4 linked regions of the Arabidopsis thaliana genome follow. The protein of the gene in region 4 interacts with the protein of the main gene of each other region in a pairwise test. Each region holds a gene or a part of one and is shown on either strand. Other genes may lie near its edges. The genes, in order: AT2G43220, bbx23, AT5G26749 and AT3G25790.

What was found.
Region 1: the proteins of AT3G25790 (region 4) and AT2G43220 interact in a two-hybrid assay, tested with the Arabidopsis thaliana proteins (one large-scale study listed by BioGRID).
Region 2: the proteins of AT3G25790 (region 4) and bbx23 interact in a two-hybrid assay, tested with the Arabidopsis thaliana proteins (one large-scale study listed by BioGRID).
Region 3: the proteins of AT3G25790 (region 4) and AT5G26749 interact in a two-hybrid assay, tested with the Arabidopsis thaliana proteins (one large-scale study listed by BioGRID).

What each region holds. Positions count from the first base shown.
Region 1 is NC_003071.7:17,962,592-17,966,715, reverse strand, and holds AT2G43220 (Cysteine/Histidine-rich C1 domain family protein), read right to left. Parts: upstream 2,498-4,124; 5' UTR 2,377-2,497; coding exon 760-2,376; 3' UTR 505-759; downstream 1-504. Other genes in the region: AT2G43230 (Protein kinase superfamily protein), read right to left, coding at 56-123, 209-241; AT2G43210 (Ubiquitin-like superfamily protein), read right to left, coding at 3,156-3,394, 3,485-3,727, 3,916-4,124.
Region 2 is NC_003075.7:6,368,281-6,371,920, forward strand, and holds bbx23 (B-box zinc finger family protein), read right to left. Parts: upstream 1,671-3,640; 5' UTR 1,247-1,670; coding exon 1,046-1,246; intron 975-1,045; coding exon 687-974; 3' UTR 549-686; downstream 1-548. Other genes in the region: ATHSP22.0 (HSP20-like chaperones superfamily protein), read left to right, coding at 2,257-2,844; AT4G10260 (pfkB-like carbohydrate kinase family protein), read right to left, coding at 3,206-3,340, 3,425-3,541, 3,620-3,640. UniProt on the Arabidopsis thaliana protein: Probable transcription factor that may be involved in seedling photomorphogenesis.
Region 3 is NC_003076.8:9,397,502-9,401,237, forward strand, and holds AT5G26749 (C2H2 and C2HC zinc fingers superfamily protein), read right to left. Parts: upstream 1,767-3,736; 5' UTR 1,739-1,766; coding exon 1,606-1,738; intron 1,522-1,605; coding exon 1,400-1,521; intron 1,253-1,399; coding exon 1,189-1,252; intron 1,058-1,188; coding exon 986-1,057; intron 894-985; coding exon 784-893; 3' UTR 514-783; downstream 1-513. Other genes in the region: SK 11 (shaggy-related kinase 11), read right to left, coding at 2,081-2,163, 2,266-2,368, 2,483-2,566, 2,668-2,763, 2,863-2,913, 3,001-3,141, 3,229-3,285, 3,382-3,456 and 1 more.
Region 4 is NC_003074.8:9,411,142-9,415,806, forward strand, and holds AT3G25790 (myb-like transcription factor family protein), read left to right. Parts: upstream 1-1,910; 5' UTR 1,911-2,054; coding exon 2,055-2,199; intron 2,200-2,303; coding exon 2,304-2,599; intron 2,600-2,920; coding exon 2,921-3,140; intron 3,141-3,253; coding exon 3,254-3,330; coding exon of another isoform or gene 3,331-3,369; exon of another isoform or gene 3,370-3,474; coding exon 3,475-3,810; 3' UTR 3,811-4,099; downstream 4,100-4,665. UniProt on the Arabidopsis thaliana protein: Probable factor involved in nitrate and phosphate signaling in roots. Integrates nitrate and phosphate starvation responses and adaptation of root architecture, depending on nutrient availabilities.

The sequences.
Region 1 (4,124 bases), on a different chromosome or scaffold from region 4:
CAACAATTGTCTATCATGATCAACACAAAGGCAAATTAGGTTTCTTTATAAATACATTTGTAGATAAGTATTTTCAAATTTTGTAAAAACATTAGAATTTGTTGCGCGTTGATCTTGATTGACCTAAGACCATTACGTGATCTCAAGACATGATTTAAATAAGATGACATTTTTAATGATCAAAGCTGTGTTTGCGTGTAATGCTTACCACTTGACCACGACGATGAAAATCACGATCCATCAGAAATCAGAATGCAATTTAGAAACAAACGATCAACGAGCAATAAACCAGAGAGACGAATCAAAAGGAAAAAATGTTTGTAGACAAATGAGAGGCAGAGACGAAAGGAGGTGATGAGCTCGTGGAGAAATTTAGGAATGAAAAAAATTTGGAATCCCAAATAACTACGGAAAAGAAAAGACAGAAAACACAAAAGATAAAAGAAAAAGCTAAGAAAAGAAAGAAAACGTCAAAAGGAAGCGACAGAGAGGCGTGTGATCAAGAATAGAACAAACATCCCAATTTTGGTGAATTATAATAAAAGGTGTGAAGAATAATTACCTTCAAAGTCTCTCTCTCTCTCTTTCTCTCTTTCTCATAAATAGTTTTATGAACTGAATGAGCAAACCAACAATAAATCCAAATATAGAAAACAAGTTTATCTGAAAATAATTGAAAAACATTACACAGCCTCCATCTGTAAAAACCCATATTCTTTTTATGTTTCCAAATCCTTCCTTTCGCCTTCCTTCAGGCATTCAGAATTTCGCATTCTGAAAACAAGCTTTTGAGCAATAGTAGTACTCAATATTTTTTCTAGTAACCTTGAAAAACCTAGGGAACCTACAACGAGAGCCACAATCAGTGCATTTTGGTCTAGAATCGTGATCGTTGAAACCCACTTCAAACTTATTCTCCCTGTTCTTCATTATTATTCCAGGTTTTATGTTCAAAAAGTCCCCGGTTACGCATTCAATATGGCACACGACCCCACAATCATCGCATGTATAGAACCATCTTTCAGGATTGGTTTCGGCTTCACAGATTTCACACCAATATTTACCTTCAGGCGCCTCCTCCCCAGAGCGCAAAACTAAATAATGTGTATCACACCTATGCTTTATGACTAATGGTAGAGTGGCGCATTTGTAATCCAAAGAATAATCACAATCAACACAACGCAGCACATTGAGTTTATTCTCACCGCAAGCTAAGCAAGTACCACGATCTATTGTGGTTAGAAATAACGTGTGAGGATGAAGTTTGGGGTGCTTGAAGAAAGAGAGAGACGCACACAACACATCGAGTACCACACCCTCTTCATCCTTGTAGCTAAAACCCCTTCCATCTCTATTGCAAGCATCACAACTGAAATTTTGTTCGCTAAAATCCTTCCCGAAGCGAAGATAAAATATACCTGTGGAAAGTCCATGTCGTTTCGTAAGAGGAAGATTCGCACACTCTTCGTGAAGAATAAACTTGCATTCCACGCACTTGTAGTGCTTCTCAGAAGAGACTGGACGGGCGCAAGCTTCACAATGCATGTCTTCAGCACCATCTATAAAAACATCCTCAATAAGGAATAAGTTATGTTTCTCGTGGGAGAAATGATAAATTACCCCTTCCTCGATCACTTCAAATGGCGCAACGTCTACTACTTCCTCAGGTATCCCTTCGAGTTCGGTCCCATCCCACACGTCTTTTCTAGTTGCACATTTTGAATGAACAAAAAAATCTGGACATTTGTTGCATGAATAGCCTCCGTACGTGGTGTTGATATCTTGACGACAGATTTCACATACCCAATTCCCACGTTTGAGAGGATATGAATGTGAAATGCGATGATCATGACGATTGATGTTGATGACGTGTGGTAGATCAATACAATCATAATGAAACATGACAGAGCATGGTAGGCATACATAAGGGTTCCGTTCACCATGCGTACCACAAGCATTGCAAGTGAAGGATACTTCCCTTCCCATGAGGGTGAGTGCATGCTCGTGGCACTTTGGATGATCCACTTTGTGGGGCGGGGGCCTGTTTCCGCATTCCATATCTATGCTGAAATTGCATAACTTACAATGGTAAACGAAGTTGGAGAGTTTCCGTTGACAGAGGCTGCACTTCTCGTCAGAGTAACTAGGTGGCCCTTGGAGGAGAACCTCTAGGGGATGGTTCGGGTGACAAGGGTGGTTAATATTCTTCGTTGACCTTGGCACGCAATAGGGATGCCATTTTATATTGCATCTGAAGCATCCATAAAAAACTTCAAAGAAGGGTATAGCACTCCTATGGCACTCTTGGCAAGTGAACATACGATATTTTTCATATAAAGGATGTTCGTGCCAAAAGAGGTCCAGCGTCTTAGCCATGGGCAATGTTAAGAATGGTTGTGGATACGATGAATGAATAAGGATCAGGGAACTTTAAGAAAATTGAAAAGGTTTAACTTCAATTCCTAATTGATCTCTAAATCCTTATATTGTTGACCCGTATCACTACCCACGATCTCCGATATAAATCACTCAAGTTGATCATCGTTAGTTGTACGCAACTAATAGAACTGGTTTAGTCTTTTCTTAAGGCTCAATTTGGGGGGTCCAAGTGTTTATTATATGTCAAAAAAATTATTTAGTTAGTCCGACTAATCTTTCACCGGATTATTAAAATGCGTACTCATCGTTGACTATAGAAATATATATTAAAAAATTGTCTGGTTGATCACATATATATGTTTTGTTATCCGAGTTGATAATATTTTGGAAGGTGTGAGGATGAGCACAAGGGAAACCGCTAGGAGAACAAGAAGCTGTCAGTGAACGCCTTTTCACAGTTCAATGAAGTCTTCACTTGCATAGAAAAGAATATACAGATTCTTATATTTAAGCAACCATTTAACTCTAATATTTTTGTTATGATTGGAACCGAAGTTAATCAAACGACACTAATTAATTTCTAGAACCGAATTTAATCAAACAGAAATTGCTAGTTTTTTTAGATTTAAATTTAATACGAGCAACCGAAAAAACGGAAACGCATCAGGATACATTTTGCAGCTGGTCTCTTAAATGGTTCATAAAGAGTCAAGTATAAAAAGTAAACACCCGAGCTGTTTCTGTATCTATCCACACAGATTTCAACTTCTCTTATTTCATCGTCTATCATTACTGTCTCCACCGCTTCCACCACCGTACTGTGTGGAGTTTCCGTTCCAAAAAGCGTTTCCATCACCAAACGGAGCCTCATCTTCATTGTGATTCAACGTATGGATGTTACTTCCAATCCGAGAAGTGGTTGGTCTCCTATTCCTAACGTTGCTCCTACCTTCTGATGGATCTTGAAAGGACGTCCCTACTTGCCCCAGATTGTTTCTCACCTCCGTATTTGGTCCTATAGATAGAAAAAGAGAGAATCAGATTAGCAATTACACGACTTTCTGCATTAGAATGGATTTTATAAACTCATCATATTCCCGCATACTTGTTTGACGTTCTGGAACAGAGCTTGATGCGTTGGCAGTACCACCGCCAAAATATGAAAACGGGTTTGCATAAGACAGTACTCTTCTAACATAAGCAAAGTAACCGCCACTATTAGGGTCTGTGTTGTTGTTAGACTCCGAGTAAGATGTTCCTCTTTGATAGACGGTTGCTCTTTTTCGCGGAACTACTACAAGTGCTTGTCTATCGAACAATCTCAACTCGGATAGAGACTTATCCAGATCTGCAGAGATTAAGAGTAATGGAGTTATGTATCTACTACACTAGTCCAAACTGACCAGAAAAAAAAAAAAAAAAAACCTAAATGGCAGAAAACATCATCTTCGATCAAGATGAAGCTGGTTTTAAGGTAAAATGTTCTTTACCAAATAAAAATAAAAATCTATTGGATGCATTGTAGATTTTACGTACCTTGGTCAGTATACACCTTACGTGGGTAAGGAACCGCAAGATCATAAGCACCCAGTCCGATTGTTTGATTACTGTTCACATAATCCTTGACCATTCTCAATATACTTGTCACAGAAAACTTCTCCTGAAGGCTACTACCATCAGGTAATCGAATGTTTAAATGAACGTCAGATGCTTTTTTGGATTTTTCTCCATCCTCTTCCTCTCCT
Region 2 (3,640 bases), on a different chromosome or scaffold from region 4:
TATAGATGTATCATGTAGGGATTGCAACTAAGATTGACGGTACCGGAGCCGCGTCATGGAGAAAGTTTCTACAAGCCTTTTTGGTTTGCTAGTGGGATAAATTTTTGGTCGACCAGGAGAACAAAGTTTTGGTGTGTCGTGGTAAGCATGGGGTCTCCAACGTTTTTTTACACGTTGTGGGAGAAGATAAATGTATACAATTGGATCATGATGAGGAAGAATCTCAATGGTCACTTCTTAATCAGTTATGTTCCAACGTTGGTTCAAATCCAACAAGGTCTATAGTTCTTGTAGTGAGGCAAAAAGAAAGTACAAGAGCTAATAGTAGTAATCTATGACTGTCTCATTAAGTTATGCATTTTCTATCCAAGTCTTGATATTTGAGATAAATAATTATATTTAATCAATAATTATTTATTCATTTTTTAAATTTTGTTTATATATCTAAGATCGATTCAAATAGTATTCACATTTCTACAATTCTTGAAACTATTGGAACAACTTAGCTTTGGTTGTGTCGATGCCATGACCACTGACTTTAGTTGTTAAGTCATGGTTTTAATATTTGTTGTAACAAAAAGATTTGATTCCTCAACAAGTTTTTCTTCTGTGTAAGATAATATATTACAGAAACTTTTATTATTAAACATCAATGGCTCCGGAACCATGATGTTGTGTGTATATCTCTAAGGACTTAAGATTACAGAAGGATTCTTGTGTACTATCTCACCTGAGTTTCCAGCTTCAGTTTCCTCACTAGAGTACTGACTATTCAGAGACACTTTTGACTGAATCTGGTAAGTTTCAGAGCTAAAACTAGTGCTGCATTCGGAGTTTTCAGTCAAAGACTGATCAGAAACTTGTACTCCAGAAAGTAAGAATCTTTGGTGAGAATTGCAAGTGTGAATGGCTTCATCACAATCATTGCACAGCATTGCTCTATCCTCTAAGCAGAAGAAGTACCCTTTTCTCTCCTGCATATACATATATATGAGACATCGGTTAAAGAGCTCAGCGAGTGTTTAAAGAGAAAAGAGATTGGAACCTGGCAGATATCACATAGAGGAGCTCCAGAAGCTGTGGTGGCTGAGGCTGCATCTTTTTGTAAGGCGACTCGGTGATGTCTTTGGAAAAGTTTATTAGCTTCATGAACCTTAATGTCACATGGCTTGCATAGTACAGCTTCATCTGAACAACAAAGTACTTCTGCTTCAGCCTTTTCACACACTTCACATTGTATCTTCATCCTTCAACTTTATAATCCAAATCAATGTAAATTGCCAATACACAGACAGAACAAATGTTCTTTGACATTTATGAGAATTAGGACAAGGAGTGAATCTAAATATAGGAAACAAGAAAGAACAAGCTTAAATAAGTTCACATGTGTGGTGGGATCATAAGTTATATCAAAACCTGGCTCTGATACCAAGAGGAATTGATGATCTTTATTCATGAAAAGAGAGAACTATATATAGATATACAACGATATGTCGAAGACGAAATTTTTATCTCAATATGGGGTTATTAGACCAACTTTGGGTGGCATTTAAACCAATAAATGTTCTCCTACCAAAATCTCCATGACAAGATCTTTTTCAGAAGCTTGTATAGTTTTACTTTCTTTTGAAAACATAAATTGACAAACATAGCGACAAGCTTCTCTTAAGACACAAGCATGGCAAGCCAAAAGTAAAGGCAGGACCACAATATGCATAAAGACTGTGGAATTAAAAGTAACTAGCCATAGGGCAATAGAGGTCAAAAACTCTAAAATGTTGTCAGAAACTGAAATGGAGCATGGCATCATTCAAACTCTCTCCCATTCCTTTCCCATGCAGCAGCCAAAATTCTAAGACTCATCACAAACAGAATTGGTCCCAAATATCATAATGGGCCAATAAAAATAGGCCTGGATATAAATAACTATTAAGGCCCAATCCAATCCATAGTTTTTACATGAAGTCTCTGGAACATGAGAGAAGACCCTTAAAGGCACAACAAACTTATCCAACGTGTAGTAACATAATTAGTACAAGTCACAGCCAAAAAAGCTAGAACAATCTCAATATCTCTCTCTGCAAAACTCTACCAAAAGAAAGATATTTCAAGAAACTTCTTCATTCTTCATACAATGTGTATTATATATACACCAGAGAATTGAGACTAACCATCATAGAAAACAAAATAAGAAAGTGAAGTTAAAAGCCTAAAATTTTGGTTTCAACCTTCTACAATAAATCCAAATCACTAACCATGATGAAGCACTTGCTAAGCATCTTCTTCATAGGAGCTTTGTTGCTTGGAAACATCAAAACAAGTGAAGGGTCTTTGTCTTCTGCACTTGAAACTACTCCAGGCAGCTTGCTATCCGATCTCTGGCTAGACCGGTTCCCTGATCCATTCAAGATCTTGGAGAGAATCCCATTAGGACTCGAGAGGGACACAAGCGTGGCTCTGTCTCCAGCAAGAGTAGACTGGAAAGAAACAGCAGAAGGGCATGAGATAATGCTCGATATCCCCGGTTTGAAGAAGGATGAAGTAAAGATAGAAGTGGAGGAGAACGGAGTTTTACGAGTCAGTGGAGAGAGGAAAAGAGAAGAAGAGAAGAAAGGAGATCAATGGCATAGAGTGGAGAGATCATATGGAAAATTCTGGAGACAGTTCAAGCTACCTGATAATGTAGATATGGAATCAGTCAAGGCCAAGCTTGAGAATGGTGTGCTCACTATTAACCTCACGAAACTATCTCCTGAAAAAGTTAAGGGTCCAAGAGTTGTTAACATTGCAGCTGAAGAAGACCAAACTGCAAAAATCAGCTCTTCTGAATCCAAAGAACTCTGATATTGAAGAAACTATATATTACTTTCTGAGTCTGAAGAGAGTTATTATAAATCCAAGAGTTTTGAGTTTCATATTGTGTAAGCTAAATGGAGTGTCATGTTTTGTAACCTATCTACCAAAATCTCTGTAACCTTCTCTATATGCAATAAAATGTTCATTTCTTTATATTATAGAGCCTCTTGATTATTTGTTATAGAACATTAGTCATGTAATTAAAAATCAAGGTATATGAATTAGTTTGGAATCAATTTTGGCAGAAACTTGAAACTAGATTTATTCAGATAACAGAGAAAATACTCTGTGAAAACCAAGGAAATTGACAAGAGTGAAGAAACAGAAACAGAACAGAACAAGATTGAAACTATTTAGACTTAGATTTCATGAGCTTTTGAGCATCAGCTGGAGTGGGAAGTGCAGGAATAGCTCCTTTCTGAGTAGTACACACTGCTCCACATGCATTTGCAAAGGCAAGTGCTTCCTTCAGCTTCCCTTCATCCTGCAACATTCACATTACTCAATCACCAAAACTCAATTTCATATGCCTTATCTATGAACTGAAAACGTCTTTGGTTATACGTACATCGAGTATGGAGCCATCTTTTCCCAATGAGACAAGAAATGCACCAACAAATGAATCACCAGCTCCAGTTGTGTCAACTGCTTTCACAGCGTATCCAGGCACTCTCCCTTTGAATTTCTGCGCTTTTCGACAGTCGAAAAACTTTGTTTAGATAACTCCAAAACACACACAATCATGTCGAATTTGATCCCTTACCTTTGTGTAGTATCTGCAACC
Region 3 (3,736 bases), on a different chromosome or scaffold from region 4:
AATCAAACTCTTCTTTATAAACTCAAACTATTTACTTTGTTCATAATTAAAATAAAAAATAAACTAAAACCCTCCATTATAAACCTAAAAACCAATATATAAATTTGAAATATTAACTAATAAATCATAACCTATCTTTTATAAACTCAAACCAACATGCTCGACTAAATTACTCTTAGGAGATTCGAAGATATTTCTCTCAACAATAAAGAGTTTAAAATTAGTTCTATTTTATGGAGTTGAAGAAATGAAAATGAAGTTAATAATTTAAATATTTGATTCTGAACAATCTGATTTTTCTTTTAGCCAACTTATACTCTGTTTCTCAATAATGTATTTTCTAGGGAAAAAATTGTTCCAACTTTGTAATTAATCTACAGCCTTAGGAATTGCTCCAACTTTGTCAAATATTTTGATAGTTTGGCTTGGGAAGTCTTGTTTAGCACATGGCCAGGAAGCGGATAGCGAATTAGCGATATCCTATCATCACGCAATGAATAGGGACGAGCCAACGAAATTTAAAGAATTTTATCAGAATATCGCACAGTATGTTAAATTGCAAATTTGCCATGTCCAAACTCCGAACAATGTCTCTAAAGTTGACGACAAATTGAGTAACAAGACGACAATTTGGTTGACATTCTTCCAACCTCGAGTCTGAAAAGAGACAAGCTTGTGGCTAAAAGCTTGGTAATGGCAGAGCACAACGAGACAAAGATTAGTCTTTTCCTTTCAAGTAGAATCATCAATGTTGAAACTGAGCATTATTCAGAGAATTTATATCTATCCCCAGTCTATGAAGGGAAGCTGAGGATAGCCTTGCTCAGGAGGCGGTTTTAGCGATGGCGGAAGATCAAACCAACCTGTTCCTGGTCTCCCACTAACAAAATCACCTGTTTTAGACAATTCAAACTTCCAACATCAGATTTTCTATAAATGCTTAAATATTAGAGAACTTGAATGACGAAAAAACAAGAACGCATACGGTTTAAAGTACTTCCTTGGATGTGTTGTTGGTTAAGCATGTCAACACGAAGTTGTGTATTATTTGTGAATCCTGCATTTGAATTCAACAAGAGGATGATGTTTTAAGCAAATCTTGCGCATAGTAGAGACTTCTTTAAAGCTTTAAGTAGCCTAAAAGAGACCAAATCACTGAAGTCAAAAATCAACAGGTTTTGACCTAACCTGTGCTTCCTGTATTGTTGTTAGGATGGAAGTATCTGCAAGAATCTCCAAATGGGCAAAAATTCTGCAAAACCCATTAAGAAAGGAACAGACTTTACTTGGAAGATTACATACATACACACATATGCAATGAATTTTTTTGCAGAATCAAACAAAGCAATGTAAAATGTGTGATTCCACCAGAATATAAACGAAAAGGACAAGACTTTACACATCCAGAGATTGCTAGGAATGATGAACATAGCGAAACAAAATCAATCCGACGTACCGAGGTAATGAATCGATTGCAGAGACCTTTCGTCGCAAAATTGGAGACTTGTGGATTAACAAGATCTAAGAATTTCGTATTAAAAGAAACAGAGATGTTAAAAATCGTTCCTTTAAGAAACAGAGAGAAAAAAGAGAGAAGAGAGATACCTGAGGAAGAAGAACTGTACCAAAGGGCTTTAGCTCGAAGATGAGGTTTGCTTTGAAGATGGCGTTTTCTAGCGACTTGAGTGTCTTGAAACTCTTTCTCGCAATAATCACAGTAATATTTCCCCGACGGCATCTTCCGGCGATGACGACGACGACTCGTAGAATCAAAAAGTTTTGGCTTTTATTAGTTTTAGGCGCGTGAGGATACTTGTATTTGCTACAGTGACTTTTAGGGTCTTTGTTTGATGATGTTGCAGAGGAAGAAGAAGATACAAAAGCAGAAGTAGCAAACTCTTTATCTAGATAAAAAATCTTGGTGGGCTTTTACATTATGAACCAACCAACCATAGTAATAACTCTTTTTTTCTCTACTCATACAACAAACAAAGGGTGCATATCAGTTTGTGACATATTGATACATAGAGAGGTAATTTATAAGAAGTGTTTGTTGTGTTCATGCTACATTAAGAGGAAATCACAAACCGAGCCAAGGACACTGCTTCCTTGCATGCTCAGGTACTAACTTAGCTACCATCTCCAATGGTACACCTTTCAGCTCTGTTTCACAACAATTACAGGTATAGCTTTAGTAAGGTAAAACTTTGATGATTTTACAGGTAAGTTGGAGATAAACACCATTAGGAAAGGGAGATGTTGTACCGTGAGGCTTGAAGTTGAAAAGCGGTGGAAGGAAACGTCCATTAGGTAGACGTGCGTTTGGGTCTCTTAACTCATCAAAGAATGGGTGGACTAATGTGTCGAGCTGTGATCAGGTTTACGATTCAAGTAAAAGCAAGTCAGACAAAAGAAAAATAGGAAATGAAAGGACCATCGAGAAGATTCACAGAAGAATGTTGAATTTGTAAGTAATACTCACAGCGGCACTTCGTAGATTAGGAGAGTATTGAAGAAGTCTTGAGACCAAATCAACAGCTTCTGGAGGCATGCGTTTGTGGAAAATCTGTGAATATATTATGACGAGTAGATATTGTCACATTGACTGTAACTGCTACTGAATAACACATTGACAAGTTGATTTGATGAATATAAGTTTATTTCTACCTTGTGCCATGGATGAGCTTTAATCTGAGGGAATTTGAATTCCGTGTAGTTTGGGTTCATGCACTTGATTTCTTCTCTAGTAGGCGTTCCCAAGACCTACCCCAAAGCATAACAAAAAACATTACATCAAATCTTCTCTCAGTATTATTGAAAACAAGAACTTGTTATCAAAGTGAACAAGTGCAAAGCTTATACCTTGATAATCTCTACAAGTTGATCAACACCGCTCTCACCAGGGAACAAGGGCTGTCATGAGCAGAGAATAGAGTTTGTCAATCACAAAATTCCAGGTTAAGTAGAACAAAAATGTTTGAATAAGATTTAATGCATTACCTGTCCAAGCAATAGTTCAGCTAGAACACATCCTGCAGACCAGACATCAATGGCTGTCGTATACTCGGTTGCTCCAAAAATAAGTTCAGGTGCTCTGTAATACCTCGAGCAGATGTAGGAAATGTTTGGTTCTCCTTTTACCTGTTTTCAGATATTACAATGATCAACAAGATTGAATCTAACTTTTTCCAAGAAACAAAGTACCCGGAAGAGGTTTATCAAACTCACCAATACTTTTGCACTTCCAAAATCACATAGCTTTACTTGATGAGTGTGCGGATTTACCTGTTCCATTACAGGTGAAAAAAGTAGCATTAGACAATGAAGAAAAGTATATTCCCGGGTATACTGTGAGCTCCTGTTTATTTAACTTGTACATACCAACAAGTTTTGAGGTTTTATGTCACGATGACACACACCAATGCATCGGTGAATGTAAGATAAGGCTCTAAAAATCTGCCAAACATAGAGAAATCCGATAAGAGATCCAAAACATAACTCTAAATCTAACAGAAATGTAATAATTGATACCTGATAAGTGTAAAGTTTGACGTATATAAGAGGCATTCTCTGATTCAGTTTGTTGTAGTGTTTGATAACACGATGAACAGTTTCTGGAACGTACTCAAGAACAAGATTGAGGTAAAGCTCATCTTTTTCAGTGGTTGAGAAGAAACAATGTTTCAGAGACACAACATTAGGATGGTCAAGTAGCCTCATGGTTTGAAGCTCACGG
Region 4 (4,665 bases):
TGGTGTTTTTTTTGTAATACCAAAAAAGAGAGAATTTTAGCTACGAGAGAATGCAAAATTCGGATTTGTGATCCGTTTTATTGAAAAAGATTTTAGTTTCATAGAACATATATCAAGTAGTATACAAATTGAAAAATAGGGTCTGATAGATCCGAGACACTTGGGTATTATCACCTAACTTTTAAACGTTTATGCCAGTTTTTTGACAAACAAATCACGAAGTATTTGAGGATAAATACAGTATTTGTTTATGTTTTCTATCTTTTTTTAGGAGGATGAGTTCATTGGTTTGATCTTAAACAATTGAAAATTTATAGGTTACCACCAATTTTGCGATTTTTTTTCTTCTTCTATACTTTAGATTTAAGTTTATATATAGATATTTTCGTTTGATATCAATATGGGAAGCCCACAAAGTTGGGGAGTTTAGTGGTACCTTTTTTTTTGGTTCACAATTGCATACGAATATTGGGGAGTTTAGTGGTACTATTGCATACGAATATTGGAGATACGAGAAAGGGGTGGAAAAAATTGATGATAAATTGAGCCCAAGTAGGAAACAATACACAAGGCCGTATATAAAGTTGGCATGTTGGGTTCAATACATGAGGCCGTCTTTTTGTTCGGCCGCGGCCAGTGGTGAACACTGAATATGGCCTTTTGAGACTCCGAGGGGACAATTATAATCCAACACTAAAATACATCTCTAAACTCTATTTGCCAACTAATTTCTTTATTTAAAATACGTTTCAATCTAATCAAAACAGATAAGCCTGTTAAACACAATTTTGATTTCTCGAGACTACGAATAGGTGGATCTATTTGTATCATAACATCATAACATATAAATCGATATTTAAAATTTTGAGTAATAAATTTGATGTTGGTCTCTAACAATTTGCGGGTAATTTCTTGATATTTTGGACATCACCCGAACATATTAGCTCATTACACACCAATTTCTATAGAGGCAACATATTTTCTTATCATTAAAGTTGACAGCTATTAGAGCCCTTAATCACGTTTGATTTCATATCTAATTCCAAATTATATGGATATAACAACAGCATAGCATATAAATTGATATGTGTAGCATTAGGTTATATCTTTGACCGGGAAATGCATTGGCAGGCCATTATACTGGGAAGATGCATTCGCATATATATTAGTAGGTGTACTTAGTAATCGTCTACTTGACATAATTAAAATTACCGGTCAAAAACACGAGATATATAGGAACTCATATTGTGTGGATATATATATTAGTTTACATGTGTATTTATGGATAAGGTTATAACGAATTCAACAAATTCTCAAGGTCCTATGAAATTTCAACAAGTATATTACAGTTTTTTTTTTATATATGGCTTTTCTTCTCCCATGTTTCGGCTGTCTACGAAGAGACATTTGGCTTTTCATATTGGGATATTGAAAAATACATTTTCAACGTTTTATATATGATTTTGTGTGGGTGAAATTAATACTTACAGAACAAAAGAGCTCATGCACGTTTAGTGTTATTTTGGCGGCTGTTTTTAAGGATTTGCATATATTCTTTCCCACGTATTGAATTCTATAAATGACATAATAATCAAACTTGTAAAAATAATAGAATGAATAGTTTATAGTCTTCCAAAATTCGATTTCTGTTGTAGTGGAATCGCAGACATTTTCTAACTTATGAATGTTGTTATAGGACTTCTTTAAACCTTGGTTGGATATACCCAAATAAATATAAAGTTCACACGAAAAAAACTTGGAATCACATCCAGGAATATTCACCACTGGATCAATACTACTATACAACAAGGGAAAAAAAAATATTTAACTTGGGAAGGTATATACTTATTTTATAAACAAAAGCAAGATTCGCCTTGTAATGCGACGGCCCGACTTCTCTCTTTCAAATAATGATCCTTGAGAAACCCTATAGAGCCATATATACGTTGTCTTTATAAAGAGACATAACTCATCTCTTCTTGACTAACTTTATAGTTAAAGTTATCAATTATTCGAAAACAAAGCTGGTTTTTTGTTTTGTCCCTTAAACCAGCATGATCAAGAACTTAAGTAATATGAAGAATGACAATCAGAAACGTGAAAAATGTTGCGAGTACATCGAAGCTCTCGAAGAAGAACGTCGCAAGATCAATGTTTTCCAACGCGAGCTTCCTCTTTGCGTAGAGCTCGTGACTCAAGGTACATACATATGCATTTACATTTCATATAAGATATAATGAGTTTATATATATGGATTAAATGTTAGATCTAAAGATTTTTAAAAAATGTTTTATGGAATTTAGCGATTGAGGCGTATAAGAGGGAGATATCAGGGACGTCGACGGATAACTTATACGGACAGTCGGAGTGCTCAGAGCAGACCACCGGAGAATGTGGGCGCATCTTGGATCTGTTCATACCAATCAAACACTCTTCGACCTCCATAGAAGAAGAGGTTGATGACAAAGATGATGATGATGAAGAACACCAGTCTCATGAAACCGACATAGATTTTGATGACAAGAACATGAAATCTGAATGGCTCAAGTCTGTTCAGCTCTGGAACCAATCCGACGCAGTTGTTTCTAATAATAGACAGGTAAGATTTTTATTTTATTTTATTTTTTCTTTGTTTACATTTGTGTTTTTGTTTGCCTTGAATTACATTTACTGTATTGTTTCCAAACCAGCCTATTGACGTTGTTAATTGTTAACGTAAAGACTAAACGCATAACCTTCTGTGTACTTTATGCGATTGTGTTTGTAACTTACAACTTCACAAATAGATTATTCTTTTTTCTTCCAGTTTTTGTTTTTTTTAATAGACCGAAAAAGGATGGGTGCACAAAAAGATAGTAAATTGCTCACAAAAAGATTTTGTTTTGTAATTTAAGTTTCTAATAGCATTTTGCGTATTCAGGATCGCTCACAAGAAAAGACAGAGACGCTGGTAGAGTTGATAAAAATAAACGATGAAGCAGCGAAGAAAAACAACAACATAAAATCACCGGTGACTACTAGCGATGGTGGCAGTGGCGGTGGCGGTGGCAGAAGAGGGCAGAGAAAGAATAGGCGGTGTTGGTCGCAAGAGTTACACAGACGCTTCTTGAACGCTCTTAAACAACTTGGTGGCCCTCATGGTGCGTTTCTTGGTTTTAAGTTAAAACATATATATCAGTAGTCATATCTTTTTGTTAGGGCTCATGAAGTTTAATTAATTCGTAATGACCTTTTTGTTCACTAAATTTTGAAGTAGCTACGCCGAAACAGATAAGAGATATAATGAAGGTTGATGGGTTAACAAATGATGAAGTCAAAAGTCATTTACAGGTTAGTAAATCATATTCCATGAAAAATACATGTAACTAATATGTAAAAGGTATATATTAATTTCATCATTTTAGTTACAAATGTTTTTATAATTTAGAAGGAAAATAATATTTATTGTTTCATATTTTTTTTAATGATAAATAGAAATATAGGCTGCATGCAAGACGGCCAAGCCAAACAACACCGAACAACAGAAACTCTCAAACGCAACATTTCGTGGTGGTTGGTGGAATATGGGTCCCACAGACTAACCATTCAACGGCCAACGCAGTCAACGCCGTCGCATCGGGTGAGACCACCGGGATTTATGGGCCTATGGTCAGTTCGTTGCCGTCCGAGTGGCCGAGGCATTCCAATTTTGGTAGGAAGATTTCGGAAGATAGATCAAGATGCTCTAACAACGGATTTTTTCGGTGTAGCTCACCAGCTATGTCTTGTTCTACTCGTACAAAGACGAAAGATGCAAAAATAATATCATAAATTTAATTTTTGATTATTTATTAAGAGAAAAAAGTTATAGACATTAATATTGTGAAGAGTGTATATATATAGATGTTGGAGCGTGACTCTATGTTATTTTTAGTTTCTTGGTTTTTTTCTATTAGCCGATGATATCTTTGATCAAAGATCCATATTAGCTAATGCATACTATATTTTTTTACGTCGTGCAATATGCATATCGATGATAATAAGTTAATAACACAAAATTATTAGATTACTAGTTGAAGAATCGTATATAGAAAGAATCGTAATTATATGTAGAATGATGGTATATTATCAGCATATATTTTTATAGAGGCTTTAGCCACCAAAATTAATAAATGTCAGTCACAAACTCAAATTAATTAATTTCGTCCTTAACATATGTATGTCGGCCAGGTTTCTATTTGCTATAGTAATATAAGATACACAGAAACATTGTAGAAATGTAAAATGTCTTCGAAAACAGAAGAAAAATACATATATAAACTTTTTTGAATGAAAATAAAAAAAATTATGCCATACAGAAGGATCGGAACTCGGTAGAATATGCCGGAATCTGAAGAGCATAATCTGCAAATATGTTTTTCAGGTTAAACTTTATTCTCTTGTTGCTTGTACTGGATATTAACACAAATGTGCACGTTGGGCTCCTTCTCGTGGAGTGAATTATTCTTTATTTGTTCCTTTTACTTTTGTAAATACAATTTTTCCATATAAGTATATAACTGTGTAAATATTAAACCCAAAATATGTTAAAAGACAAGTTTTTTTGTAACTTAAGGGCAAGAAACAAGGTGTAAAGCCACATGAAAATTGCTGACCATTCTAACTCTCGACACTACTATACAATTA